4 linked regions of the Anolis sagrei genome follow. The protein of the gene in region 1 interacts with the protein of each later gene in a pairwise test. Links are inferred from orthologs where the notes say so. Each region holds a gene or a part of one and is shown in the gene's direction. Other genes may lie near its edges. The genes, in order: ALAS1, CDC73, zinc finger matrin-type protein 1 and DUSP19.

What was found.
Region 2: the proteins of ALAS1 (region 1) and CDC73 interact in a two-hybrid assay, tested with the Homo sapiens proteins (3 studies listed by BioGRID and IntAct). The two-hybrid records come from large-scale screens. The link is inferred for Anolis sagrei from reciprocal best matches to the Homo sapiens genes ALAS1 and CDC73.
Region 3: the proteins of ALAS1 (region 1) and zinc finger matrin-type protein 1 interact in a two-hybrid assay, tested with the Homo sapiens proteins (2 studies listed by BioGRID). The two-hybrid records come from large-scale screens. The link is inferred for Anolis sagrei from reciprocal best matches to the Homo sapiens genes ALAS1 and ZMAT1.
Region 4: the proteins of ALAS1 (region 1) and DUSP19 interact in a two-hybrid assay, tested with the Homo sapiens proteins (3 studies listed by BioGRID and IntAct). The two-hybrid records come from large-scale screens. The link is inferred for Anolis sagrei from reciprocal best matches to the Homo sapiens genes ALAS1 and DUSP19.

The regions. Positions count from the first base shown.
Region 1 is NC_090022.1:69,143,009-69,150,986, forward strand, and holds the start of ALAS1 (5-aminolevulinate synthase, non-specific, mitochondrial), read left to right. Parts: upstream 1-4,870; 5' UTR 4,871-4,992; intron 4,993-7,978.
Region 2 is NC_090024.1:116,057,527-116,065,265, reverse strand, and holds the start of CDC73 (parafibromin), read left to right. Parts: upstream 1-4,365; 5' UTR 4,366-4,602; coding exon 4,603-4,733; intron 4,734-7,739.
Region 3 is NC_090026.1:52,619,125-52,627,105, reverse strand, and holds the start of zinc finger matrin-type protein 1, read left to right. Parts: upstream 1-4,579; 5' UTR 4,580-4,627; coding exon 4,628-4,742; intron 4,743-7,981.
Region 4 is NC_090021.1:187,169,982-187,177,312, reverse strand, and holds the start of DUSP19 (dual specificity protein phosphatase 19), read left to right. Parts: upstream 1-3,983; 5' UTR 3,984-4,176; coding exon 4,177-4,408; intron 4,409-6,399; coding exon 6,400-6,446; intron 6,447-7,056; coding exon 7,057-7,209; intron 7,210-7,331.

The DNA.
Region 1 (7,978 bases):
AATATGGAAATCAGGGCTTTCCCATGGTTCTTGTGCTCTGAGTCATCCTATTTTCACTGCTCATATGTTTTCATTACTGCAAATGTTGTAACTTGGAGCTGTTGAATCACAGCTTGGATGCCGTAGGAAGATTTCACACGCAAAGACCAGGAACAGCCCAACCCCGTCTCCAGCTAGTTTCCTGCCTCCTTTCCCTGGCTATAAAAAAAGCCTCCTTCATCTGAACCATATCTCAGTTTGAACAGAAGACAGTAAGGAAAAGGTTACTGCCCTTTTATAACTATGCAAAACACTGTGTACACATAGATGTATTGTATCATGTATTCTGCCTTTTTGTTCTCTTCCTTCCAAGCTTGAGGATCCAGTAATTCTGATTTGAACCACTCACATACCCTGTTCCACAAGTCCAAAACAGCTATATTTTGTTTGCTTTGGTTCTTCTTCTTAGACTTCTCTTTTCATTGAATACTTTACTGTGAGAAGCAGAAAAAAAAAATCAGCATCCAGAACTGGCTTGTTCTCCAACAGTGCTCCACTCATCCCCTTCCTAAGAGTATAAGAGAAGAGCAGATTAAACACAGGACCCTGTTCTAAATTGAATAACTCTTAAGTGATCACAATCCCCAGCTGTTGGAATTCAGTGAAAACAAAAAGGATTAAGATCAGCTTTTCATGGTTTCTGCGGGAAGAGTTTCTCAACTGACGCAGATGGCTCATCTCACTGTTTGAACTTGCTGGTGGATGGAGAACACATTCAAGATCATTGTAGCTGATACTTTTAAGTTTGGTCCTGAACAAATAAAGAAAGGCAACTCTAAAACAGAGGTCCTCAAACCTTTAAAGCCAAGGGCCGGTTCAAAGTCACTCAGACTGTTGGGGGACCATACTATAGTTTGAAAAAACCAACACAAATTTCTATACACACTGCACATATATTATTTGTAGTGCTAACAAACCCCAAAACAACAGTACAACATTTAAAATGAAGAAAAAATTTAACCAACATAAACTTACTAGTATTTCAGTAGGAAGTGTGGGCCTGCTTTGGCTGATGGAGATCGTCAAGATACAGTAATTAGAATTGTTGTGTGTCTTCAAATCATTTCAGACTTAGGGCAACACTTTGTCTAAATTTTAGGGCAGGGGGTGGATATATTATCTTGGAGGGCTGCATCTGACCCACGGACCTTAGTTCGAGGAGCCCTGATCTAAAATGTGGAGTACCTAAGCCTTTGAAAGGGCCAAGACTTTAAACCGTGATCAAAGAAAAGTACAGAGAGGAGTAACAGACACATGTAGAGATGTGCTTGCACCCCACAACTCAGGAGGCAAGCTTTGGACTTATCTATGGGTGCATCTAAAACAGATATGGTTTGGCCATTCACTGCCATGGCTCTATGCAGTGGAACCATGGGAGTTGTAGTTTTACAAAGCCTTTTTCCCTAACTGCTAAAGAGAGTTGGTGCCTCAACAAACTACAGCTCCCAGGATTCCACAGCATCAAACCACAGAAGTTAAGGTTGTGTCAAATTGCATTCATTCTACAGGTTTTTTTTGTGTCAGGAGTGACTTGAGAAATTGCAAGACGCTTCTGGTGTGAGAGAATTGGCCATCTGCAAGGACGTTGCCCAGGGGATGTCCGGATGTTTTGCTATCCTTGTGGGAGGCTTCTCTCATGTCCTCGCAAGGGGAGATGAAGTTGACAGAGGAAGCTCATCCACGCTCTCCCTGAATTCGAACGTCCGACCTGTCGGTCTTGAGTCTTGCCGGCATAAGGGTTTAACCCATTGCACCACCGGTTCAGGCATGGGGAAACTTGGCCCCTCCAGGTGTTTTGGACTTCAACTCCCACAATTCCTAACAACTCGAGGGCCCAAGTTTCCCCGTGCCTGGTGTAGATACAACCTACATAAACTTTCAGACCAGTATTCCCTCATGGATAATGAATGGTGCCAGGTCCTAACCTTTGAACTAGCCGTTCCATAATCAGGAAAGACACACACTGAGCACATGCAGAAAGCCTTGCCCTCCTTGTTGGGTAAACACAGACAACTCTTTTGAAATGTGAGTTTCCAAAGTATCGAAGGTACTCTGATATTTACAAACAGATAGGCACTCCTTCGCAGTACTAGTAGTTACACTTTTGTTAAAAACTGGGCTGCCCTTGAGTCAAACAGTGTTGTGGGTAAACAGTTTAGAGGGGTCACCCAGCCAAAGCCTATATCCCTCGAAGGCAAATCCCTATATCCCCTTCTGAACAAATCTGGGCAATAAAGCCCCATAAGAAGTTCACCAGAGGGTCACCATAAGCGGAAATGGCTTGGAGGCACACAATAAAAACATTCACATGATACTAGAATCATAAAACTAGGCGTGGAAATAAGGCAGCAACCCCATGCACTTTACTACCTCTTCTGTGCCCACAATCTTCCCCATTCTTTAGCGCTTGAGGAAAGTTACTTTTTGGCCTACAAATAAGCACAATTGATGTGCCAATCATTTCATGTAGTACTTTTATGTTGCATTTCTTTGTATGAAAACAGCCTATGATCCAAAGCATTAATAAACAGCAGCTACATATACACTATGGCGGCCGCAAGATATAATGCCCACCATTTGATATCCAAGTTCCTGCAATGGTAGCACACTGATGCAGTCATCAGCCTCTGACAATAGGTATATTTACAGCTGGTAGGCTGTTCGGAATTGTGGGAGTTGAAGTTCAAAACACATAGAGGGCTGAAGTTTGCCCATGCCTGATCTACATTGTAGGATTAATGCAGTTTGACACTATTTCAATTATCATGGTTGCATGCTCCAAGTCGCTTCTGATGTGAGAGAATCAGCTGTCCACGAAGACGTTGCCCATGGGATGCCTGGATGTGTTATGATCCTGCGAGGAGGCTTCTCTCATGTCACCACTGGAGCATTGCAGCACATCAAAATACCTGGGAGTCACTCTGGATTATGCTCTGACTTATAAGAAACACTGCCTGAATATCAATCAAAAAGTGGGCGCTAGAAATAACATCGTATGAAAGCAGACTGGCACAACCTGGGGATCACAACCAGACACAGTGAAAACATCTGCCCATGTGCTTTGCTTCTCTGCTGCTGAGTATGCATGCCCAGTGTGAAATACATTGCACCATGTTAAAACAGTTGATGTGGCTCTTAATGAGACATGCTGCATCATCACAGGATGTCTACGCCCCACACCACTGGAGAAATTATACCGTTTAAGCACCTGATATCTGTCAAGAAGGAGCAGCCAATAATGAAAGGACCAAGACATTGACATCTCTGGCCTATCCTTTGTTCGGATATCAGCCAGCACGCCAATGTCTTAAATCAAGAAATAGTTTTCAACAGAGATACTCGCAGGAACACCTCAGCAAGCAAGAGTCCAAATGTGGCAGGCTAAAACCCGGAACCTCAAGCTATGGCTGATACTGAATGAGAGACACCCCACTGGGCACACAGAAGACTGGGCGACTTGGAAGGCACTGAACAGGCTGCCCTCTGGCACCACGAGATGCAGAGCCAACCTTAAGAAATGGGGCTACAAAGTGGAATCCACAACATGTGAGTGTGGAGAAGAGCAAACCACAGACCACTTACTACAGTACAGCCTGTGCCCTGCCACATGCACAATGGAGGACCTTCTTAGAGCAACACCAGCTTCTGGTCAAAGGAAATTTAGCATAATGCCAAGTTTTTAACTTTGTGTTTTAAATACATTTTAACTGTACACTCAATCCGCTTTTGAAATGATAAATAAGTAAATAAATGTCATGGCTCAAGCCCCATCTACACAGCCATACAATCCGGATTAAGGTAAAGGTTTTCCCCTGACATGAAGTCCAGTCGTGTCCAACTCAGGGGTGTGGTGCTCATCTCCATTTGTAAGCCGAAGAGCCGGCTTTGTCCGTAGGCCAGGTCATGTGGCCGGCATGGAGTGCCATTACCTTCCTGCCGGAGCAGTACCTATTAATCTACTCACATTTGCATGTTTTCGAACTGCTAAATTGGCAGGAGCTGGGTCTGTCAGCGGAAGCTCACACCGCTCCCTGGAATCAAACCTGCAATCTTTCGATCAACAAGCTCAGCAGCTCAGCGCTTTAACCCACTGCGCCTCCGGGTCCTCCATAATCCAGATTATTAAAGAAAATAATCCAGTTCATCTGCTTTGAACTGCATTATGTGTCTACACTGCCAGATAATCCAGTTCAAAGCAGATAGTCTGGATTTTTATATGCCAGTGTAGAAGGGGCCTCAGTGCTCTGGAATCGTGGGATCTATAGTTTCACAAGACGCCCTTCCACACAGCCCTATATCCCAGAATATGAAGGCAGAAAATCCCACAATATCTGCTTTGAACTGGGTTCCTGCCTTGATATTCTGGGATAGAGGGCTGTGTGGAAGGGCCCCTTGTGAAACTATAGATCCCACGATTTCAGAGCGCTGAGGCTCCTTCTACACTGACATATACAATCCATCTTTGAACTGGATTATCTGACAGTGTAAAGTTCATATAACCTTGGTCTTTAGCCTCCTCGGCCTAGTGCTTCACTGGGAGTTCCAGTGGGACCCAACTGTCTCAATTCTATAGCGTGACTTGAAGCTGTAGCTTTCCCAATCCCCACCCAGCTCCCTTCCCTTTTTTCCCTCCTCCTCCCCCCCCCCCCCCCCGACTCCGCTTTGGTACCGCCCGGCCTCCCTCTCCTTTCCTTCCCAACCAGGTCAGGAAGAAACTACGAGAAGCGGAAGGAGGGGGTGGAGGAGGAGAAAGTAGGGAGGGATTAAAGCTGGCCTCTTAGGATCGCCTTGACAATTGGGCGCATGCGCGGCTGTGGGGTGGGGGGGGTGGCGGCATTTGCGCATGCGCCCTGTCCCCTCGCGATTGGCTATATAGGGAAGCCAAGCTGCCGGGGCCGGTTGTAGAGAAGAGAGGAAGAGAGATCGCAGTTGTGAGGGTCGTTCATTGGAAAGGTAAGAGGGGGGAAGGAGTGCGCGTGCGCATGAGAGAAAATGAGCGCGAGGGGGGAACGAAGTGAAAGGGAAGGAAGGAGGGAGGGGAGCGCGCGCGCGCGGGGCCTAGTCGGTTTGGCTTTCCTCTCCCTCGGGCGGAGCTGTTCGTGGGGGCGGCCTCTTTCCCCTTCCATCTCTCCTTGACCTCGTCCCATTCCGGGCGCTGGACAGCTCCCAGGAGATGCCGTGGTTGAGGGGAGCCCTCTCTGCCCGGATTTGGGGGGTCTTTGAGTCTGCCTTGCCCTCTAAACTCCGAGGAAGAAGGTGGCCAAGGGAGGCCCTGTCACTCAAGAAGGGCAACCTCTTCCTCTCCCTTTCCTCTTGCCCTGCTTAGACTGTGTCCCTGTGTGAGGGTCAAGGGCAGGCCTGGGCAAACTTGGGCCCTCCAGGTGTTTTAGACTTCAACTCCCACAATTCCTAACAGCCTCAGGCCCCTTACTTTCCCCCCTCAGCCGCTTAAGTTTGCGTAAAGAAGAGGGAATGGGGCCTATCCCGGGCTCTTGGCAGAAAAGGATGCCTCTTACACTATTCTATTGTTGTAGACATTTATTATTATGGCTTATTATAATATTATAGTAATTATTACTATTACAATTAAATACAGGCAATCCCCAAGTTGCGAGCAAGACAGGTCCTTGTAGGTTTGTTCTTAAGTTGTATTAGTATGTATATTTTAAAAGTGTAACTCAATCTCTCTTAACAGAGCCCCCGGTGGCACAGTGGGTTAAACCCCTGTGCCGGCAGGACTGAAGACCGACAGGTCGCAGGTTCGAATCTGGGGAGAGGCGGATGAGCTCCTTCTATCAGCTCCAGCTCCTCATACGGGGACATAAGAGAAGCTTCCCACAAGGATGATAAAAACATCAAATCATCTGGGCGTCCCCTAGGCAACGTCCTTGCAGACGGCCAATTCTCTCACACCAGAAGCGACTTGCAGTTTTTCAAGTCGCTCCTGACAGGACAAGAAAAAATATCTCTGTTTCTCTCTCTCTCTCTCTCACTCACTCACTCTCACTATATATATATATGCTATGGATCACAAGGGGAAAGGTTGGCACCCCTGTGGTTGGGTTTTTTAAAAATTATTATTTTTGTTGTCTGTGCCTCTGTTCAGAAGATTTCACCTCACTTACTGTTCCTGTGATAATTCGATTTTGAAAAAAATGGCTTGTTGTGGAAACAAGGATTGATGAGAAAGCTTCAGTTGAGACACCTTTTCCCCATGATAACTCTTTCAGGACTGAATTTCCCTTCTGAGGGGTAGATTTCTTTCACTTACTGTTGTCTCATCCCAGTTTTTAATTATGAGTCGATTGTAAGTTAGATGTTTTTAATTTGGGGACTGCTTTATTATAATATCATATATTAATATTAATATTTGTTCGTGTCAGGAGCAACTTGAGAAACAGCAAATCGCTTCTGGTGTGAGAGAATTGGCCGTCTGCAAGGATGTTGCCAAGGGGACGCGCAGGTTTTTAAATGTTTTACCATCCTGTGGGAGGCTCCTTATGTCCCCGCATAGGGAGCTGGAGCTGACAGAGGGAACTCATCCACGCTCTCCCCAGATTTGAACCACTGACTGTTTAACTCATTTTACTACAGGGGGCTCCATAATAATAATAATAATAATAATAATAATATATTATGGAAGTAACACAGTTTGACCCGACTTTCACTGCCATGGAATCGAGGGAGCTATAGTTTGATGAGGCACCATCACTGTGGCAGGGAAGGTTAAAGACCATCAAGGGCTGCTGTGATTTTGTTTTGTGGTTTTATGTGTTTTTATGGTTTTAATCTGGATTGTTTTAATATTAATGTTGTTTAATACTGTTTTAATATTTGTATATTTTTGAAGTTGTATTGAAATGCTTTTAGTTGTGAACCGCTTTGATTCTTTGTATAGAGAGAAAAAGCAGGATATAAACATAGTAATAATAATAATAATAATAATAACGATCTTGTAAAATTATAGCTGTCAGGATGCCATAGCATTAAAGCATTAGACCATGGCAGTTGAAGTGGGGTCAAGCTCCATTAATTCTACAGTGACTTTGACCCCGAAGCCTGAGAGGGGAGGCTCAGGAATGAGTCCCATCTCATTCTGCTCGGGGGTGGGGGGAGGTAAAAGAGTGCATCTACACTGTAGAATGAATGGAGTTTGATCCCACTTACATTGCCATGGTTCAACAGTATAGACTCCTGGGCACTGTAGTTTAACAAGATCTTCTTTGCCCAAAAGTATTGGTGCCTCACCAGACTGCCATGATTCCATAGCATTGAATCATGAAAGTTGAGGGTATCAAACTCTAGTATTGTACAGTATAGATGCACCCATATTCTTGTATTGGGTCCCAATACAAGGGAAAAGGATAAAGGGAGGCCCTTTTCTCAGTCATTCCTAGTGAGCTGAGAGGGGAAGGGAAGGGCGTTGGTGTTGATCTCCAAAAAGAAATTAAAGTTGTATTCGGAAATGGTTGCTTGGTCTAAACCAAGATGAGGTTTCAGGATCCCATCTCTGTGTTTGTACTGGACCTAGATGAGAATCTGGGACAATCTTTCCCTCCACAAATCCTTTGCTTCACATTTTTTCCCTCACCTGCCTCTTGGTGATTTGAAAGCAGCAATCGAGTTCCTTGGATTTGCACATGAATACAGTTTATTGTGGCATAATATTCTGTTTATGAAAGCCTGCATGGAATATTAACTCCAGGCTTTGGTATAACTAAATACGTCAATGCAGGATCATGCTTCTGATATCTATCCACAAAATATTATGGTCTAAGAAATTGATTAGTTTCAAGACTCCAGAAGAAACCTAGTATAATTGTGTAATTCTGGAACAGACCGGAGTAAATGCCTTTTTAGAATTGGTGACTCAAGACTCCTTTGGTCTGTTTTCTCTGGTCTTTGTTTTTCTCTGTGTTCAGTGATATATGAATTTTGA
Region 2 (7,739 bases), on another chromosome or scaffold:
AATTGTCGTTAGGACTCCATGTTTCCACCATCCTTTGTCATGTCTAGGGCTGAAAGGAGCTGTTGGTGAATTAAATCTGGCAACCAAATGTTTCCCATCTCTAATAAATAAATAAATACATAAATAAGGGAATCCTATAGTATTCAAAGATCCAATACGTTCAACGGGGCTTACTTTTGGGCAACTGCTACAGGATTTCAGCCTACCGAAGTGTAAATATGTAACCTAAATGAGAGCATGTTAGATTACAGTATAATTATGCACCTGTATTTCCAGCAGGAATTTATTGAAAGATAAACTGAACATACACAATTTTAAGCTATATTTGGAGAACAAGGAGTTAGGTTAGTTGCAACTTGAGGCTACCGCTACTTCTATATAAATAAAAATGTAATGTTTGTTTGTGGGATTAACGTAACTCAAAAACCATTGGATGAATTGAATAGCATACACCTAACAACACAAGGAGTCATCATCACTCTAAAAAAATGATTTTGTCATTTGGGAGTTGTAGTTGTTGGGATTTATAGTTCACCTATAATCAATAGCAGTCTGAACCCCATGAATGACAGAATTTGGGCAAACTTCCCACACAGAATCCCCATGACCAACAGAAAATATTTAAGGCCATCCAGTCCAATTCCCTTCACCAGGGCAAGAAAACGTAATCAAAGCCCTCCTGACAAAGAGCCAGCCAGCCATAGATATAGATAGATATGATTCACACACACAGTATCATAGATTTGAAAGGGACCCCTAAAGAAGGACAATTATATGTTACATATCCCAGAGTAGGCAAACTAGAAAATCTCCACATCAACACTGACAAAGAAACAATAAGAAATACTGTTTACCCACAAGCATAAAGACATCACATATATTAGTAACCAACACTTTCTCATTACTTTATTTTCCAGATCACCAGTCTGGGCCATAGCAATGCGTGGCAGTGAAAGGCTAGTATTCAATAAGATGATTTCCAGAGTTTAGAAGTAATTCTTGCCTCCCAAATTTAGCAACATGGATATGAGCTACTTGATCTCTCCAGAGTATGAACTGACTTAAGCAACACATCAAAATTTGAAAGCTAACATGATTTGGACTTACCTGCTATTATAGCTGTTTTTTTCTGGCAGGGTAGTCCAACCTTTCAAACAGACAAACTCACTCTTGAATTCCCTGCTCAAATGTACTGCAGAGCCTTCACTGTGGTATGCCTAACTATTCCCCTTACAGCAGTTTTGAGGGAAGATCGTGGAAAATTCCTTTTTGTGAACACAACTTCCCATGTGATCTTGGGAGAGCTTGAACCAATAAGGTGTAATGTTTTTCCCCAAAATACATGGAATTTTTTTTATCATAACTCACGGAAAATTTCCAAATGCTTGCAGATATATTATGTATTTACATTCTTCTTTACTTTTTTCCAGATTGGAACAGATATTTCTCTCAAGGTAGATAAAACTTATGTTGTTATGTGTCCACGATATCAGCAATTATCTTTAGTTATCACACAGGTTTCTGAACTGTGATTTTAATATTAATATTTAACATCATACAATATGTGTTGCCTGTCAAGTTACGGTGACTCCATGACTTTTATAGAGCTTTCTTACACAAGGAGGTATTTTTGCCAGTTCCTCCTTCAGAAATATGGCTCAGAGCACTTGGGATTCATTAGCTCAGTGGTTCTCAACCTGGGGTCCCCAGATGTTTTTGGCCTTCAACTCCCAGAAATCCTAACAGCTGGTAAACTGGCTGGGATTTCTGGGAGTTGTAGGCCAAAAACATCTGGGGACCCCAGGTTGAGAACCACTGCGCTGTTACCGATCCAAGTATTAACCAGGGATAATCCTGTTTAGCCTTTAAGATCACATGGGGTCTGATTCTATATACGAGGGGTATTTTTAAAGTAAGGTCCGTTTTGTTGTAAACACTAGTAGTTCACGCGCATATCGCAACGAGCACGTGCGTCGTGTACTGGCATGCCTCGGGAACAACTGTGCTCAGTTTCCGCTCTGTAGCTAACCTGTACAGTTCTGTTCTGTGCTTTAAAAATGTTTAAGACTATCAACTCACCCTCCGCATGTGAGGTTCGCTCAGCGATACGGTTTTTGTCAGCAAGGAACTTGCCTGCTGCAGAAATTCATCAACAGATTTGTGAAGTGTACGGTGATACTGTTATGAGTGAAAGCAAAGTGCGTAAGTGGGTACGACAATTCAAAGATGGCCGTGACAACGTCCATGATGAGGACCGCTCTGGTCGCCCTTCTTTGATTACAGATGATTTGGTGGCTTCAGTTGAAGCGAGGATTCGTGAGAACAGGCGCTTCACAATAACAGGTCTCTCAAACGAATTCCTGACGTGTCGAGATCAGTGCTTTACAACATTGTTTCTGAACACCTAAAGTTTAGGAAACTGTGCTCCCACTGGGTCCCGAAACTCCTAACAGAGGACCACAAAAACCAAAGATTTGAGTGTGCTATCAAATCAAATCGTCGCTAATCAAAGAAGGGCGACCCAGAATATCAAGGAGAAAAATCCCACAATATCTGCTTCAAACTGAGTTATCTGAGTCCGCAATGCCATATATTCCAGTTCAAAGCAGAGGCCCCTTCCACACAGCTGAATAAAATCCCACATTTTCAGTTTTGAACCGAGATACACGGAAGTGTGGACTCTGGGCCCTTCCACACAGCCCTATATCCCATTATCTGCTTTGAACTGGGTTATCAGAGTCCACACTCAGATAATGTGGGATTTCTTGTCTTGATATTCTGGGATATAGGGCTGTGTGGAAGGGCCCTCTGATAACCCAGTTCAAAACAGATATTGTGGGATATATGCCTTGATATTCTGGGATATAGGGCTATGTGGAAGGGCCCTAAATACACACTGCCAGAAAATCTGGGATAAGTAGATGATCAGGGATCAGATACTGGGATTTAAGGCAGTGCAGATCCAGCCTTAGGGCACTTCTAGAAAGCCATAGAGCCCAGAATATAAAGGCAGATTATTATTATTATTATTATTAAACTTTATTTGTACCCCGCTAGCATCTCCCAAAGGATTCGATGCGGCTTACACAGGCCGAGGCCTCAACAACACAACATAACAATACAATCAAGCAAATCAAACAATTAAAACAAAATAAAGCAAAGTAAACAACAGGCACAGTACATTAAAACACAATAAAACTGGGCCGGGCCAAAAGGTGGGTACAAGGATTAAAAGTGCTGATTTGACAGGAGGTGTATAAAGGGTTTCTAGGGCAAGTGCAATGTGCGGTGTGCAGCAATCATTGGTTGTGGTAAAGTGCTTGTGGGACTCGGTAGTGGAGATTTCCTAATCTGTGAAGGTGCATCGGAAAAGTCAGGTTTTTAAGTTCTTTCTGAAGATAGCCAATGAAGGGGCCTGTCTAAGGTCTTTGGGGAGGGTGTTCCAGAGTTGGGGGGCCACTACGGAAAAGGCCCTGTCCCACGTCCCCACCAAGCGCGCTTGCGATGCCGGTGGGATCACGAGCAGGGCCTCTCCAGATGACCGAAGAGAACGCGAGGGTTCGTAGATGGAAATGCGGTCACGCAGGTAGGCTGGTCCCAAACCGTTCAGGGCTTTGTAGGTAAGCACCTGCACCTTAAATTGGGCTCGGAATATAAACGGGAGCCAGTGGAGTTCCTTAAACACATTATCTGCTTTGAACTGGGTTAACTGCGTCCACACTGCCATATATTCCAGTTCAAAGCAGATAATGTGGGAGTTTCTGCCTTGATAAGTTTGGAAAAAAGGAAGTTATGCTGCCTCACCTTGTACATGCTCAGAGGCACTCTATTCCCTCCAGATTGGAACTGAAGTTACACCTTCAAAGAGACTTCACTGCCAAATCGTACCTTTTTCTTTGCTTGCACTACAGGACGAGTTAGGAACACAGTGTTCTCCTGCGATGTAAGCGAGGGCCCATCCACACAGCCCCAAATCTGCTTTGAACTGGGTTATCCGAGTCCACACTCTGATAATGTGGGATTTTCTGCCTTTATATTTTGGGATATAGGCCTGTGTGGAAGAGTCTTCCGAGAGACCCAAGCTGAGCGCGGCAACAATGCGCATGCGTACCCAAAACGGCCTGTCAACAGAGGTAAGACAGAGTGAAGGCAAAAGGCCTACTTGAGAAGGCAAAGGCCCGACGGGATGCCACCCACCTGAGCCAAGAGCAGCGACGCAGCTCCCGCCTCAGCAGCGCTCTCAGCGCCATGGACAAGCCTCGAAAAGGACCCCAAGAAAGCTGGGCGGCGATTGGGTCCTCTTTCCGCGCAGGCGTCAGCGAGGGCAGCCCTGCGGGGTCCTCTTTCCTCTGTTGCTTTCTCTGCGCACGCGCAGGACGGTGGCTGGGCCAGTCGGGCGGTCCGTGAGGCAGCTCGCGCGGTGGCTCGCGCTCGGTCGGTTTGTTTGTTTCCCTGTCAGCGAAGGCCGGGGGCGCGTGAGGGGAGCCTTGAAGGAAGGAGCGCGCTCTCGGCAGTCGCGAGCGAGAGAGAGCGCGACTGACTGACTGACTGACTGACTGAAAGAAGGAAGGAAGGAAGGGGTGAAGGCGGCAGGCGGAAGCCATGGCGGACGTCCTGAGCGTGCTGCGCCAGTACAACACGCAGAAGAAGGAGATCGTGGTCAAAGGGGACGAGGTGATCTTCGGCGAGTTCTCCTGGCCCAAGAACGTCAAGACCAACTATGTCATCTGGGGGTGAGTCGGAGGGAGGGAGGGGCGGGCCAGGAGGAGGAGGAAGGGGAGGGTGCCTCGCCAGGTGCCTTCAGTGGAGAAAAGGGACTGCCACACTGCGGGATGGATGCAGTTCCAGACCACTTTAGAAGCTATAGAGTTGAACCTCCCTAACTTTCTCTGCCAAAGACTGCAGGGGGCCTCATCATCATCACCATCATCAACAACAATATATTTATTTACTCAGTTCTTGTGGGTTTTTTCGGGCAATATGGCCATGTTCTAGAGGCATTTCTCCTGACGTTTCGCCTGCATCTATGGCAAGCATCCTCAGAGGTGAGGTCTGCTGGAATTGGGAAAAAAGGGGGTTTATATATCTGTGGAATGACCAGGGTGAGACAAAGGACTCTTGTCTTCTGGAGCTAGATGTGAATGTATTGTCGAAGGCTTACATGGCTGGAATCACTAAGTTCTTGTGGGTTTTTTTGGGCTATATGGCCATGTTCTAGAGGCATTTTTCCTGACGTTTCGCCTGCATCCTCACTACCTCTGAGGATGCTTGCCATAGATGCAGGCGAAACGTCAGGAGAGAATACCTCTAGACCGTGGCCATATAGCCCGAAAAAACCCACAAGAACCTAGGTGTGAATGTTTCAACTGACCACCTTGATTAGCATACAATGGGCTGATTGTGCCTGGAGCAAACTTTTGTTGAGAGGTAATTAGATGTCCCTGCATCTATGGCAAGCATCCTCAGAGGTGAGGTCTGCTGGAGCTGGGGAAAAGGGGGGTTTATATATCTGTGGAATGACCAGGGTGAGACAAAGGGCTTTTGTAAGTTGGGCTAGGTGTGGATCTTTCAACTGACCACCTTGATTAGCATACAATGGGCTGACTGTGCCTGGAGCAAACTCTTCTTGAAAGGTGATTAGATGTCCCTGCCTGTTTTTCTATCTGCTGTTTTTGCTGTTGCAATTTTAGAATTTTTTAATACTGGTAGCCAGATTTTGTTCATTTTCATGGTTTCTTCCTTTCTGTTGAAATTGTCCACATGTTTGTGGATTTCAATGGCTTCTCTGTGTAGTCTGACATGGTGGTTGTGAGAGTGGTCCAGCATTTTTGTGTTCTCAAATAAAATGCTGTGTCCAGGTTGGTTCATCAGGTGCTCTGCTATGGCTGATTTCTCTGGTTGGAGTAGTCTGCAGTGCCTTTCATGTTCCTGGATTCGTGTTTGGGCAATGCTGCGTTTGGTGGTCCCTATGTAGACTTGTCCACAGCTGCATGGTATACGGTAGACTCCTGCAGAGGTGAGAGGATCCCTCTTGTCCTTTGCTGAACGTAGCATTTGTTGGATTTTCTTGGTGGGTTTGTAGATTGTTTGTATGTTGTGTTTCCTCATCAGCTTCCCTATGCGGTCAGTGGTTCCCTTGATGTATGGCAGGAACACTTTTCCTCTGGGTGGATCTTCATCTTGACTCTCATGGCTTGTTCTTGGTCTTGCAGCTCTTCTGATGTCTGAGGTGGAATATCCATTGGCCTGTAGAGCCCAGTTGAGGTGGTTCAGTTCATCATCAAAAAATTCTAAAATTGCAACAGCAAAAACAGCAGAGAGAAAAACAGGCAGGGACATCTAATCACCTTTCAAGAAGAGTTTGCTCCTGGCACTGTCAGCCCATTGTATGCTAATCAAGGTGGTCAGTTGAAAGATTCACACCTAGCCCAACTTACAAAAGCCCTTTGTCTCACCCTGGTCATTCCACAGATATATAAACCCCCTTTTTCCCAATTCCAGCAGACCTCACCTCTGAGGATGCTTGCCATAGATGCAGGTGAAAGGTCAGGAGAGAATGCCTCTAGAACAGGGGTCCTCAAACTATGGCCCGGGGGCCAGATGCGGCCTTCCAGGGTCATTTACCCGGCCCTCGCTCAGGGTCAACCTAGGTCTGAAATGACTTGAAAGCACACAACAACAACAACAATCCTATCTCATCAGACAAAAGCAGGTCCATGTAACCAAAACATGTGTTTTTATTACTAAAACAATTAGCTACTCTTCTTTCTCATTGAAGAGCTGTTGTGATGAGATGAATAATGTAACATAATTATATCGTTTCCTCTTCCTTATTATTGCCTTTGCTTGAAGCAATCTTTCCATCTTGATCATAAAATGTAAAGGGTGGTGTCTGCCCTAACCCAAACATTTAGGCATAAATTCCCAGGGTTGTTTCATACAGTATGCAAAGGGAAACCCTGGTTGAACTGGATAGGCTACGCCTGAGCTGATCTAGCAACTCACTGTACACTTATCTGGGAATAATTCCTAATGGTTTTTGTTTCTTTAAAGGCATAGGCGTGCACATTTGGAATATCAATATACAAAGGGGATCTTGTGGTATCTCAGAGACTTAACTGAGAGAAGTGTGTTGGTAGTATAAGCTTTCATGTTTGAAATCTACTTCCACAGATGCATGAATTTGACAGTTGCCACTCAGCCTTCCCATGTAGTCCAGTTTCCCTATGATTACTACAGCTCCTCCTGTGTCAGCCTCTTTGATGACACTGTTAAGAATTTTCCTGAGACTGTATATAGCATCTTATTCCTTGTGGCTGAACTTATTTAGTAAATTATATTTCTTATTAATTTCTGTCTTGGAATGATGATGGAAACATTCTAGTTCTGTGCATCTGAAGAAGTAGAGGTTGTCTACAAAAACTTATGGTACCAACATCTTTCTCTCACTTAATCTCCAAGGTGCTGCAAGACCTCTTTGCATACTGGCATTTATGTATCAAAGTCAGCTGCAATTAGATTAACTTTCATCCTGTAAAAGATAGTGGTGACTAATTCATCTGATTTGCCCTATTGCTTTAGAAAAGAACCCAGAATTCAATAAATGAAACCAAATATATGCAATCAGGAAAATGTAGCTAAATCATTTGCTCACTTAACAATTTTATCTATAGGATGTATTCGTTTGTTAAAGTCACACGTGTAACATGGACAGTTACCCATTATTAGATGTACTATCA
Region 3 (7,981 bases), on another chromosome or scaffold:
TATGTATATTGTGTATATGTGTATGCTTGTCTTTATGCATATTTGTGTTTATATATGTGTATGTATGTGTGCATGTGTATATTTATGTGCGCATGTATATATTTGTGTGTAGATTTATGTGTGTGCATATCTGTGTGTGCTTGAGTATATATATATGTATGTGCATGTGTATGTGTATGGTGTATCTGGGGGGGTTTTAAGTCAGTTCTGCTGAGGGTTTTTTGTATTTTGAGGGGTAATGAAGAATTGTTGAACTGTTAGGTGTATTGCCTCAAAATTTCATGTCAATTCATCCAGTGGTTTCTGAGTTATGCTAATCCCACAAACGAACATTACATTTCTATTTATATAGACTAGCCGTCCCCTGCCATGTGTTGCTGTGGCCCAGTCTGGTGATCTGGAAAATAAAGTAATGAGAAAGTGTTGGCTTCTAATATATGTAATTTCTTTCTGCTTGTGGGTAAACAGTATTTCTTGCTGTTTCTTTGTCAGTGTTGATGTGGTGATTGTCTGGGTTGCCTCCTCTGGAACATGCAACATATCATTGTCCTTCTTTAGGGGTCCCTTTCAAATCTATGATACTATATCTCTGTGTGAATCATATATATCTATCCATATCTATGGCTGGATGGCTCTTTGTGAGAAGGGCTTTGATTATGTTTTCTTGCCCTGGTGAAGGGAGTGGGCTGGATGTCCTTAAGTGTTTTCTGTTAGTCATGGATTAACGTGGGAAGTTTGCCCCAATTCTGTAGATGGTGGGGTTCAGAACGCTCTTTGACTGTAGGTGAACTATAAATCCCAGTAACTACAACTCCCAAATGTCAAGGTCTATTTTCCACAATCTTCATCTGTGTTCATATTTGGGCATATGGAATATTTGTGCCAAGTTTGGTCCAGAACCTTCATTGTTTGAGTCTACAGTGCTCTCTGGATGTAGGTGAACTGCAACTCCCAAACTCAAGGTCAATGCCTACCAAACGCTTCTAGTGTTTTCTGTTGGTCATGGGAGTCCCGTATGCCACGTTTGGTTCAATGCCATGATTGGTGGAGTTCAGAATGCTCTTTGATTATGTTGTTGTTGTTGTTCATTCGTTCAGTCGTCTCCGACTCTTTGTGACCTCATGGACCAGCTCACGCCAGAGCTCCCTGTCGGCCGTTACCACCCACAGCTCCCTCAAGGTCAGTCCAGTCACTTCAAGGATGCCATCCATCCATCTTGCCCTTGGTCGGCCCCTCTTCCTTTTGCCTTCCACTTTCCCCAGCATAATTGTCTTCTCTAGGCTTTCCTGTCTCCTCATGATGTGGCCAAAGTACTTCAACTTTGTCTCTAGTATCTTTCCCTCTAGTGAGCAGTCGGGCTTTATTTCCTGGAGGATGGACTGGTTGGATCTTCTCGCAGTCCAAGGCACTCTCAGAACTTTCCTCCAACACCACAGTTCAAAAGCATCGATCTTCCTTCGCTCAGCCTTCCCTAAGGTCCAGCTCTCACATCTTTGATTATAGGTGAACTATAAACCCCATCAACTACAACTCCCAAATGACAAAATCAATTTTTGAGTGAAGGACATACATCAGGTTGTTAGGTATCTTGTGTCCAAATTTGGTGTCAATTCGTCCAGTGGTTTTTGAGTTCTTTTAATCCCACAAACGAACATTACATTTTTATTTATATAGATTGGCGGTGTTTGTATACGACCTTTCCCAACTCCGAAGGAGACACAGGGCGGTTCACAGTATGGTTCTCTGCCCCGTTCTCTGGGCTGAGAACCATTGTTTATGGAGGGTGTTGTATCCCCAAGGGATGGGACTCCCTTGGTGCCTGCTCCACTCATTGACTGACATTCACAATTCACATGGTGATCATTGAGGTGTGAAAGGGTGAGGGTACGAATGCCTGTTTACTGCCCCGCTTCTCTATGGGTTCTCCCTTGCAAATAATCTGCTCCTTTTATCTCTGTTTTCTGTTGGTCATGGGAGTCCTGTATGCCACGTTTGGTTCAATGCCATAATTGGTGTAGTTCAGAAGGCTCTTTGATTGTAAGTGAGCTATAAATCCCAGCAACTACAACTCCCAAATGACAAAATCAAATTTTTTTGAGTGAAGGACATACATTGGGTTGTTGGGTGTATGCTGTCCAAATTTGGTGTCAATTCCCCCAGTGGTTTTCGAGTTCTGTGAATACCACAAACGAACATTACATTTTTATTTATATAGATTGTATTTGTATGGTATTTATGCTGCTAGCATGTTTTGATGCTTATGTAAGGCCGCTCTGAGCCCCCCTTGTGGGGAGAAGGGCGGGATAGAAATATCTGAAATAACTAAATAAATAAATAATGCATGCAAATCCCAGTAAGGTGGCTTCTGCAGCTGGCAGGTGGTAGTTTTGTCAGCGACAATTGTATTTAAGTGCAGGCCAAGGTCTTGAGGCACTGCACCCAGTGTGCCGATCATTATTATTATTATTATTATTATTATCTATATCTATATATATAAAAATGCTCTGTGCATAATGAGTACCTTAAAAAAAAGAACCAATGAACAAAATCACACCAAATTTGGGCCCAATACAACTAACAACCCAATGTATGATTTTGTCATTTGGAAGTTGTAGTTGCTGGAATTTATACTTTACCTATTAATAATAATAATAATAATAATAATAATAATAATAATAATAATCCTTTATTTATAATCCACTACCATCTCCCGAAGGACTCAATGCAGCGTACAAGAGGCCGAGACCCAATACATCAATAAACAACACAACAATAATACATCAATAAATAACTCAAGCAATAGACGTTAAACAGCACAACGCAATTTAAAATCAGTGTCAGGGCCAGTTGTAATGGATTAAAAAATTTAAAAACTGGGCATGACCGGGTAAAATGGATAGGTATTTTTGGAGAAGATTTGGCGTGCAGACAATCCTAGATTTCTAGTAACGTACATTTGGGACAAAGTGCTTTGGGGTTTCCTATTCTGGGAAGGCACACTGGAACAGCCACGTTTTCAAACTCCTCCTAAAGACTGCTAGCGTCGGGGCATGCCTGATATCCTTGGGGAGTGAATTCCAGAGTCGAGGGGCCACCACAGAGAAGGCCCTGTCCCTTGTCCCCACCAATCATGCTTGTGATGCAGGTGGGATCAAAGAGCATTCTGAATCCCACCAACGATAGAATTGGGCCAAACTTGGCACACAGTTTTCCCATGACCAACAGAAAATACTGGAAGGGTTTGGTGGGCAGTGTCCTTTGGCTTTGGAGTTGTAGTTCACCTACATCCAGACAGCACTGTGGACTCAAACAATGATGGATTTACTAGGTTCTTGTGGGTTTTTTCGGGCTATAGAGCCATGTTCTAGAGGCATTTCTCCTGACGTTTCGCCTGCATCTATGGCAAGCATCCTCAGAGGTAGAGGTCTGTTGGAATTAGGACAAGGAGTTTATATATATCTGTGGAATGGCTGGGGTGGGGCAAGGAGCTCTTCCCTGCTGCAGTTAGGCGTGAATGTTCAGCTGATCACCTTCATTAGCATTTGAAGGCCTGCCTGCGCCTGGGAAAATCTGTTGCTGGGAGGTGTTAATCTGTGCCTGGTTTTTTCCTCTCTGTTGTTTAGCTGTTATAATTTTAGTTTTTTAATACTGGTAGCCAGATTTTGTTCATTTTCATGGTCTCTTCCTTTCTGTTGAAATTGTCCACATGCTTGTGGATTTCAATGGCTTCTCTGTGTAGTCTGACATGGTGGTTGTTGGTGTGGTCCAGCATTTCTGTGTTCTCAAATGATGGATTTGGTCCAAACTCTACACGAATGCTCAATATGCCCAAATGTGAACACTGGTAGAATTTGGGGAAAATAAAATCTTGACATTTGGGAGTTGTAGTTGCTAGGATGTATAGTTCACCTACAATCAAAGAATATTCTGAACCTCACCAATGACAGAATTGGGCCAAACCCCCACACAGAACCCCCATAAAACGGTACAGTGAGGCATACATTTTTTTGTGTGTCAGGAGAGACTTAAGAAACTGCAAGTCGCTTCTGGTGTGAGAGAATTGGCCATCTGCAAGGATGTTGCCCAGGGGACGCCCGGATGATTTGATGTTTTTATTATCCTTGTGGGAGGCTTCTCTCATGTTCCCGCTTGGGGAGCTGGAGCTGACAGAGGGAGCTCATCCACCTCTCCCCGAATTCGAATCTGTGACCTGTCGGTCTTCAGTCCTGCCAGCAAAGGGGTTTAACCCACTGAGCCACCGGGGACTCCCAGGCATACATTGGAACTCCATTTCAATTCCAGCTCTCGTACCCCCGTTACAAGAAAAGGCAATCCAATTCTCCAGACCTTTCCCAGATCCCACTCCCAAAGCAAAGCCTCCCAAAGCAAACTGAGCCTTGCCGCAAATAGAATCCGAGGCGGTAGCACAGAGCGAGGAGACACCGCTGATTGGACAACGCGCGGTGACTGCTGGAAATCACGCACCAATCAGAAAAGTGGGGAGGAGACGGTTTGAAAGTAGACCCGAGGGAGAGCGGCTGCGACTTCCTACATCCGGGTTCCTGCGTCGCCTCTCTGGCCTCTCGCGCGTAGTGGGCGGGGCCTGCTCCGCTCCGCTCCCGCAGTCATGGCGGCGGCACCTGCTGCTGCGCCTGCCTTTGCTGCGGGGCGGGAGAGGGCAGAGGGGGGAGGGGGCGCCCCTTCCCCCGCGGGGCCGACACCCCCCCGCGGCCAAAGAGCAGGTGAGTGAGTGAGTGAGGAGGGGGAAAAGGAAGGAGCCCGGCCAGGCAGAAGGAGAGCCCTCCGCTGCTGAGGGCCCAGGGCGGAAGTGACGCGGAGGGGCAACAGTGAGGAGTGACTCCTGCTCAGGTAGAGCGCCTGCTCCTCCAGCACTAGGCCGCACACACCTAGGTCCAGGCGAGGATGATAAAGAAGGGGCAAGCATGTGTTCCTCCAGGTGTTTTGGACTTCAACTCCTACAATTCCTAATAACTTGTTAGGAATTGTAGGAGTTGAAGTCCAAAACACCTGGAGGGCCGCAGTTTGCCCATGACTTGGTCAGACCCACTTTGAATCTAGGGCAGTGGTTCTCAACCTGTGGGTCCCCAGATGTTTTGGCCTTCAACTCCCAGAGATCCTAACAACTAGTAAACTGGCTGAGATTTCTGGGAGTTGTAGGCCAAAACATCTAGGGATTCACAGGTTGAGAACCACTTGTCTAGGGGGTGCATCCCATAAACAGAATCCTGAAATACTCCCAAATTTGCTGATCTGTGTGGGTCAGTGAGGGACATTTTTGCTTTTTGGTGGTTCAGCACACACCAACGTCGATTATTGTTATAATATTTATACCCACTTTATCTCCCCAAACTCAAAACAGCTTGACATAAAAGTATTTGCATACAATTTAAAATAAATATGCACCTATTCAAACACAATCAGCACTAAAAAAAAGTGTGCTTCGTTTACACCCTTGTTGAAAACGTTCGATCTTTGTATTTGTATACAATCTAAAATACACAAATATGCACCTATTCAAACACAATCAGCACTAAAAAAAGTGTGCTTCATTTACACCCTTGTTGAAAATGTTCTATCATTGTATTTGTATACAATTTAAAATACACAAATATCCACCTATTCAAACAAACACAATCAGAACTAAAAAAGTGTGCTTCATTTACACCCTTGCTGAAAATGTTCTGTCTTTGTATTTGTATACAATTTAAAATACACAAATATGCACCTATTCAAACGTAAACACAGTCAGCACTAAAAAGTGTCCTTCATTTACACCCTTGTTGAAAATATTCTATCTTTGTATACAATTTAAAATGCACAAATATGCACCTATTCAAACACAATCAGCACTAAAAAAAAGTGTGCTTCATTTACACCCTTGTTGAAAATGTTCTATCTTTGTATTTGTATACAGTTTAAAATACACAAATATGCACCTATTCAAACGCAAACACAATCAGCACTAAAAAAAAGTGTGCTTCATTTACACCCTTGTTGAAAATGTTCTATCTTTGTATTTGTATACAATTTAAAATACACAAATATGCACCTATTCAAACGCAAACACAGTCAGCACTAAAAAAAAAGTGTGCTTCATTTGCACCCTTGTTGAAAATGTTCTATCCTTCAGGGTGTGTGTCATCATCAGCAATCACTTGTGTTTGAGTAGGATGACTTTCCAAGTGTAAGGTCTTGGCAGTGGGTTCGTAGCTAACAGTGGAAGCCAATAATAATCTATATAAATAAAATGTAATGTTCGTTCATGGAATTTACATAACTCAAAAACCACTGGACAAATTGACACCAAATCTGGACACAGTACACCAAGGGTCCTCAAACTAAGGCCCGGGTGCCGGATACGGTCCTCCAAGGTCAATTACCCGGCCCTCACTCAGGGTCAACCTAAATCTGAAACAACTTGAAAGCACACAGCAACAACATCAATCCTATCTCATCAGCCAAAAGCAGGCCGACACTTCCCATTGAAATAATAATGTTTATATTTGTTAAAGTTGTTCTTCATTTTAATTATTGTATTGCATTTAAGTGTTTTTTTTGCACTACAAATAAGATATGTGGAGTGTCCATAGGAATTCATTCATGGGTGTTTGCTTTTTTTCAAATTATAATCCGGCCCTCCAACAGTTTGAAGGACTGTGACCAGGCCCTCTGTTTAAAACGTTTGAGGACCCCTGATCTATATAAATAAAAATGTAATGTTCGTTTGTGGATTTACATAACTCAAAAACCACTGGACAAATTGACACCAAATTTGGACACAATACACCTATCAGGCCAACGAGTGACCATCACTCATAAACACACTGAAAAACACATCAGAAGGAACTTAAAAAGCCAAAAAGTTTTTAAAAATACATTACAACACATGCACAAAAACACATATACACAAAAACACACAAATATACACACACAACACACATATACACAGACTAGGCTACAGCAACGCATGGTAGGGGACGGCTAATATAATAATAAGACTATTTGTAACCCACCCTATCTCCCCAAGGGGACTCGGGGAAGTTTCCAGTAAAAGTGGCAAACATTCAGTGTCATAATAAAACATATAAACAAGAAATCAACACAATAAATAAAACAATATAAACTTAGAATGACTAACAACAATAACCAAAAAGTAAAAACTTAAATATGTTACATTATGCACATTTACCAACGTAATAAAAAAACTGAGTAGCTAAAATGCATTACAAATATGCTAAGAATTGTGATCCAACAAAATGTGGAGCAGTTCTAGATTTCTTCCCGTGGTCAAAAGTAGCGAAGGTTCGATGGATTCCTGTGGGCCAGTTCTAGTTAGAATTAACATTGAATTTAGCCCTGTAGGAGCTCTAACATCACAGGGGAGAAGGGGAGTCTGTTTGTTTTTTTCCTTTCAAGTTCAAGTTATTCTCAATTTTGTGTCCCACATTTCTGGCAAACACTCAAAATCGCATACACCTTAAAGTATAATAAAGTACAACGAAGTCGTGAGTTTGAAATCAAGAAAACATTTATTTGTGGTAGGAACTGCATTGAGTTAGTTTGTGTGAAGGGATTAACAAACCTCACTACACTTCCTCGGTGTGTCCAATGGGTGTTGAGATTCACAGACAATGCTCATTGGACACTGCTGGGAAAATGTACCCAGAACTATGTAGTAAAAATGTCAAGGACTTTCAGCCTATGAGGAATTGGGTGAGAAATCCAGTAACAGTGAGTGAAATTGTCAATGCACACACAAAAGCAAACCCCTTCAACAAGCAAGAAACAGAAAAACATCCTAAAATCCACCCCTGTGAGGTGGAGGAAGGTATTTCATTGTATAAAGTAACTTGATAATGCTTTAACTATGGAGTGGACAACTTGTGTGGTTTCCTAGTGAAGTTAAGTGTTGATTCCAAGCAGCCCTGGCTAGCATATCCAAAAGGAAAAGTAGTGAGAT
Region 4 (7,331 bases), on another chromosome or scaffold:
TTTGCACAGTAATTTTCATGGGGGAATTAATAAAACGTATCCCCACATACAAAGGTGCTAAATGCATGAAATAAAAGAAACTAAATTAATAATGAACCTTTGAAATATGCCTTTAGCATGACTTAGTGCACAGAAGTGTCTTATATCCAGTTTGGTTCCATTTGTGTATTTGATGAACCACTTTTCTCCAGGGTGATGAGCAAAGACTACTGAGTACTTTAGTGGATTGATCAATCAATCAATCATTTACAGATCCCCATAACAATACCATTATCTCTATCCCATCTTTTACCAATTTATTAACAGGAATAAAATGGGGGACAGTACAGAAAGGTTTACCAAAATCAAGATTGAACAACAATGTTTTTTTTTTGATCTACTAAGATACAATCTCTGTATGTTAGTAGTTGATTACATAACAAATTAGAAGGGCCATCAAAAACACTTCGAGGAGATTTAAAAGTTAACACTTAAATAGCAAATAGAGGTTTCGAAATAGTTGTGGCGTCCTAGCAGAACAGGGCTCAGAGAGAAGTAACACAATTTTTCTTCCAGGGTTATAAATGTCATTTCCTAATTGGTTCTATCATAAAAACACAGAAAATGTTTATTAAATTGCAAAACCTTTGTTTTTGTGGGACATCCTGCAGCACATTTTGCTATAGTTTTTCAATGAATATCTCATAGAGTCTCAACCTATTCAACATAGTTTGTGGCAGCCACAAAAACAAAGTTTCTGGAATATGACAACTACTTTCAATGTAAGTACCACACAATTAAACAGGAAATAATAAATTCAAACCATAACATATTCTTTTTCAAATTTTGTTACATAGTATATTTTTTTCTGTTCTGGGACAAATCTACTGAATTAAAAATAGCAGAACTGTTCACTCAAGGAAAGTCATGGTATGAGCTTATGCTGAAGATTCAAGTTGGCAGCAGAACCTAGGATAAAGCCATTTTAGGAAGCAGTCTCGTTTAGTAGATGCTTAGAGCCATGTGGGGTCAGACGGTCTACACACAGCAACATGCATTCCATGGCCTCTTGCTCCCATTATAATATTTCATCTAGAAAACAGTCTTGGGATCGAATATATAAATACACCCACCTACTCCAGATAGAGCTTTCCCCCAAACCTGGTCATGGGGGTTCTGTGTTTCAAATGTGGTCCAGGCCCATTGTCGGTAGGGGTCACAGTGCTGTGTCTTTATGCAGGGTAAACTACAACTTCCATCCTGTTGAGTCAGTCCCCCAACCCCCTCTAGTCTGTTCAGCTGCTGATCAATTCTTCCGTGCTGTGCGCTATAGGAAAGACAGCTCGGAAGCTCCAACGCTCGGCAGCCATGATTTTAACAGGAGCGGCGCACAGGGAGCATACAACCCCCCCTGTTGCGCCAACTCCACTGGCTACTGATCTGCTACCGGGCTGAATTCAAAGTGCTGGCGTTGGCCTTTAAAGCCCTATACGGCTCCGGCCCAAGCTACCTCTCTGACCGCATCTCTGCCTATGAACCCACCAGGACTTTGAGATCTTCCGGGGAGACCCTGCTCTCGATCCCGCCTGCTTCTCAAGCTTGGCTGGCGGGGACGAGAGATATGGCCTTCTCGGTGGTGGCTCCTCGGCTGTGGAACGCCCTTCCTACGGACATTAGACTAGCACCATCTCTAATGGTATTCCGCAAAAAGGTGAAGACCTGGATGTTTGTGCAGGTGTTATCGAGCTCTTTTAGGGGGCTCCCCCAGGAAGGAGAGCCCAAGGACCGCACCAAAAAGGGTCCTGGAAACCTTGGTGAGATCTTTCCGGAAGCCAATCCAAGAGCGCAAAAGTTATCTAAAAGCAATCAGCTCACCAGAGGCGAAAGGAGACCAGGATCGAGGCGTTTATTTGCGATTCAGCTGAATGGATGATTTACAGGAATCGTTCCACTGCAAAGCATGGTGGGGTACAGTGATGCAGGCATATTTATACAATTTTTGAAAACCCAGAGTTCAACCCTTCTGCCCCGGCTCCTCAGGTGTTCCCCGCTGTGATTGGGTGATGGGCGGACACCTGGGAAGCAGCCCTCCCGCCCCTGGCGCCTCTGTACCAATCAGGAAACTCCAGTGGTCTGTAGGATCCAATGGGGAGACCTCTGTCACATGGTGGCGACAGCCAATCAGGAGAAATGGGGGCGGGATGAGGGAGCACAAAGGAATCTGGGAAAGGAATCTGCAGACAAAGGAATGCCATGTGCTCAGCGAAACAAAGGAAAAATGTCTCCAGATGTTTGACAAACAAAGGCTTTCCTGTCCTTGATGAGTCTGGCAGGGAATTTGAATAGGCTAGATCGATATCGGACCACCCGGAGGGTCAACAATATCTGGGTGAATTAATCAGTCTCTTTTTCCGAAGCTCTGCTGACCCTTGTTCCTTCGCTGGCCATGCTCCGAGGGCTAGGGTTGGGGCCAGCAGCATTGTCCATGCAAAATGAGTCAATCAATGGGTGATTTGGGGGAAAGAGGCTTGGGCTCTGTCCCCAGGCAGTTCCTGGTCACGCTGGTTTTCTTGTGGGGCGAGGGTCAAGGGGGTGAGGATACAGAGGAGTTCATAGGGGTTACATATTTCATATTCATAAACCATAGGCATCACCAGTATACAGGCATTCCATATATCACCACCCACCACCCATCCCAACCCCAATCCACAGTAATAAGAAAATATTTTATTCATTTCATAAAAAGAGAGAGGAAAGAACTAGAAGTCCCAAAGTCTGGACGGAAGGGTTTTGGGTGCAGGGGCCAGTCCATGCATCAGGCTGGCCACCAGAAGATCAGTCCAAGGTCCGGGTTGGTCAACAGAAGATTGGCTCCTTCTAGGAACAGGAGCTGGAGCTGAAGGGGGAGCTGGGTTGGGTAGTAGCAGAGTCCATAGTCCAGTGCACAAGCCAGAGAATTCACAAAGAGGAAACAGGAACCCAGTTATGTGTGCTGGGTCAGGAAGCAACAGAATCCATTGTCCGGCCCTTGGCGAACTACAAATACTTGAGGGGGGGGGGGGTAAAGATGCTCCGCATCAATGGCGTTTGAGTAATTTAGTGCAATCTGGTAATGGAACATAGGAATGGAACAATGGACGACGAACCTGGACTACGCTTAGATGATGAGAAGATTGGGTACGGTTGTTTTTTGTAATAACTGTGCATTGTAATTGCTTATTGGTAATTTATGGATAATGCGTTAAGTCAATTGTTATATGTTGTATGGAACCACTGCTGTTTCTACTGTTTTTACTGTTTGTGAACCGCTGTGAGTCGCCTTCGGGCTTGAGATACAGCGGTATATAAGCAAAGTAAATAAATAAATAAATAATAAAAGCAAAAAATACCCAAAAATATACAATGCATGTGCATACCGCACACACACACACACACATATATGGCCACACACATATATTAACACACACAACACATATATGCAGACTGGGCCACAGCAAAGCATGGCAGGGGACAGCTAGTTTAAAATAATTTTGTGCATTAAACAATATTTGTCAACACTGAATGATCATAAATTAAAGTTGGTGCTATTTCAACCCTGGAGTATTTCAGAATTTCAGATGAGATGCTCAACATCAATATTAGGTGTAGCCCCTAGGAATGCATAGAAATAAACATACTTTCCTTGTGGAGCCACATGTGGTATGGGAGTGCATCTACAGTGTATAATTAATGCAGTTTGACACCGCTTTAATTGCCATGGCTTGGTGTGATGGGAGCTAAAAGACTATGTAACAAAATTTGATCAATCTTTTGTTCCTGGTTTGAAAGTGTCATTTCCTGATTAATTGTGCGGTACTTCTCTGCAAAACTACAACTCCCAGGATCCCCTAGCATTGAGTTCTGGCTGTTCAAAGTGGAGTCATATTCATCACACAGTGCAAAGGCGACGGAGGCGCGTGCCTGTTACTAGACACCCCACTTAGGCTGAAAGAAAAGAAGCCCTCTGACCAATCGGAAGCCGGCTTTCTGTAGCCAATCCAGAGCTGACTTTCACAAGAAACACAAGGCTGTTCTGTTTGCCTGCCTGTGCCTGTTGCTTGCAGATGGTTAGGCATCTCTGGGGAAGAGCAAGGAAGGAAGAAGGGTCGGTCGTGGGCACTTGCCTTTGCTTTGTGTTCGCCTCCCCTGGCCCATGTGATGCACTCGCTCACCCAGGAGATCCGATCCTTCTCCAAGACTAACCTGCGCAGGCAATGCACCCGGGTGACCACTTTGACCGGGAGGAGGCTCATCGAGACCTGGAAGGATGCTCGGCTGCAGGCGGTGGAGGTGGCCGACGGCAAGGACGGCGGGGGGCCCGCCTGCGGATACGTGCAGGACCTCAGCCTGGACCTCCAAGTCGGGCTCCTCAAGCCCTGGCTGCTTCTAGGTGGGTGGGAGGCGTTGCATTGGGATGGCCACCCGCTGCTTTAATCAGGAGGCATGGAAAGCCTTGGGTGCAGCTCCTTTGGAAAATGAACGCGTACCACTTTAACAGCCAAGGACGAATGCTATGGAAGCCTGGGAGCTGGAGGGCCTGGGTTCCATAGCATTCATCCAAGGCAGTTAAAGTGGTATGCATTCATTCTGCAGAGGAGATCACAGCTTTCTAAACTTAGTGTGTTTGAACACACTGTGCAGGCGTATCACCCAAATGTGATGAGCAACCTTATACACTCCCACATATCCTGATTATCACATCATCTGCTTCGAACTGGATTATATGAGTCTACACTGCCCTAGAATCCAATTCAAAGCAGATAATCAGGATTGATGTATTGTCGAAGGCTTTCATGGCCGGAATCACTAGGTTTTTGTGAGTTATTGTAGGTTTTTTCGGGCTATATGGCCATATTCTAGAGGTATTCTCTCCTGACGTTTCACCTGCATCTATGGCAAGCATCCTCAGAGGTTGTGAGGTCCTCTGTTATGAGTTTTCCAGGCTGTATGGCTATGTTCCTGAAGCATTCTTTCCTGACGTTTTGCCTGCATCTATGGAAGGCATCTTCAGAGGTTGTGAGGTCTCACAACTTCTGAAGATGCCTGCCATAGAAGCAGGTGAAACGTCAGGAGAGAATGCTTCTGGAACATCGCCATACAGCCCGGAAAACTCACAATGATCTGGATTGATTTTATATGGTAGTATAGAAGTTTATGTGAAATAAAATTATATATATATATTCACACAAATACACAAAAGGTTTTCATGAGATATGTTGTATGCTCATACATTTTGTTATTACAGTTTATGTATGTCTCCGTATCTCTTATAAGGGGTTAGATTTTTAATTGATTTTTATTAAAGTGGAAAAAGGGTTTCTTATACATGTAAAGTGGGGGAATAATAATGTTAAAAAAAGTAGGAAAATAGAAAAATAAAGGGAAGTTGTAAGAAGAGAAAAAATGTAAAAAATGTTCTATCACTTTTATCTACTCTTTGATGGTCAGATATTTCTAGTCTTCCTTTCCTTTCATCTTCTTATTTTACAGTCCCCAGTCTGTCTGTTGAATGTTTTATAAGGGGTTAGATTAACCTCCAGTTTTGCTAGTAAAACTGCCCTATATCTCAGGATGTAATCCCAGATTATTTGCTTTGAACTGGATAATATGAGTTTCCACTGCCATATAATATGGGATATGCAGGTAATCTGGGTTCAGAATCTGGAATATAAGGACAGTGCAGAAAGAGACTGTATTACTGTGTAACAGAATGATGCATGTCTAAAAAGAATATCACCAATATGAAATGCTTGGAAAGGTCTGAGATAGATTCACTCCTTTGACCCATTCTTTGTTGGCTCCATATTTTTTCATACTCAGTATGTTGTTGTTTTTGCATGTTTCTTTGGTGTCCAGAGTGCTCCTGATGTTAATTTGTGTCAAGTTGGTTTCAAATTACGGCAACCCTTTGAGTATGCATCTTAAGACAGTAGCATCTTAAGACAATAACTTCAAGAACAAAATTGGTAGCCAGTTGGTACAAAGTTCCCTTTGCATATTGATATTCCAGACTGTCACAGCTGTGTCTTTGGACTCTTCTACACTACCATATAAAATCCAGATTATCTGCTTTGATAATTATCGGGCAGTGTAGAAGGGGCCTTTGAAGGTGACTATGAATAAAAGTCCTCTGAAAGATTTTCTGTACAGTTGATCCTCTGTTTCCATAGAATCTGCCTCCACAAATACAATAATCCACAGGTTTAAAATATTCTTTAAATCGAAACACAAATGTTGTTTTTGCTCTTTTCTGTACGGGGCACCATTAAACTATGCTTGCGCATCTATGGATTTTGATATCAAATTGCAACAGATACCAAGGGCCAACTTTATGTAATTCTTTGGTGACTCCTTGGATAATACAAGCTTCTCTCATCACAGGATCACAAGATGCAGCTCATGATCTGGACACAATGAAAAAATACAAGGTGAGGACATGTTTGGGTTTGTTTGATTTTTTTTTACAAAAGTGGTTGCATATTTAAAGCCTGAAAGAATCACATAACGGTCTATAATAAAATTTGAAAAATTCTGTTCCTGGTTTGAAAGTGTTGCTTCCTGTTTAATTGCGAAGTATGTACTTTGAAAGTAATTGTTTCACTCCAGAAACTTCGTTTTGTGGCTGCCACAAACTTACGTTGAATTGGTCGAGACTCAATGAGGATATTAATTGGAAAACAAGAGCAAAATACGCTATAGGGTATCCTGTAAAAATATTTTTCAGCGTAATAAACTTTTTCCATGTTTTTATGATAGAGCCAATTAGGAAATGACATTTATAACCCAGGAACTTGTTACATAGTGTAATTTTTCATCTTCATATTGATTCTTCAATTTCAAATATGAAAACATAAGGACAATTTTAAAGCTGTCTATTGAAAACTATTTTTTTCTCATTCCTGTCCTTGGTTTCATGGCATGAAGGTGAAGGAAGTGTTTGTACCAGATCCCTTTGCTTGCAGTTTGACGTTCATAGCCATGTCAGAAGTTGAAGATTAAAAAGCTGTCTTGGTTTATTATCTGTCTAATGCATTTCAGGTCACCCATGTTCTAAATGTAGCCTATGGAGTTGAAAATCCCTTCCCTGAGGACTTTACATACAAGAGCATCCCTATCTTGGACCTTCCTGAGACTGACATTATCTCCTATTTCCCTGAATGTTTTGAATTTATTGAGGAAGTTAAATTAAAGGTAATTCTGTAGAATGTGATTATTGAGCATTGGTGCACTGGATTGCTGAATTATTAACATTGTATTTAGATGTGTTGTCGAAGGCTTTCATGACCAGTCACTGGGTTGCTGTGAGTTTTCTG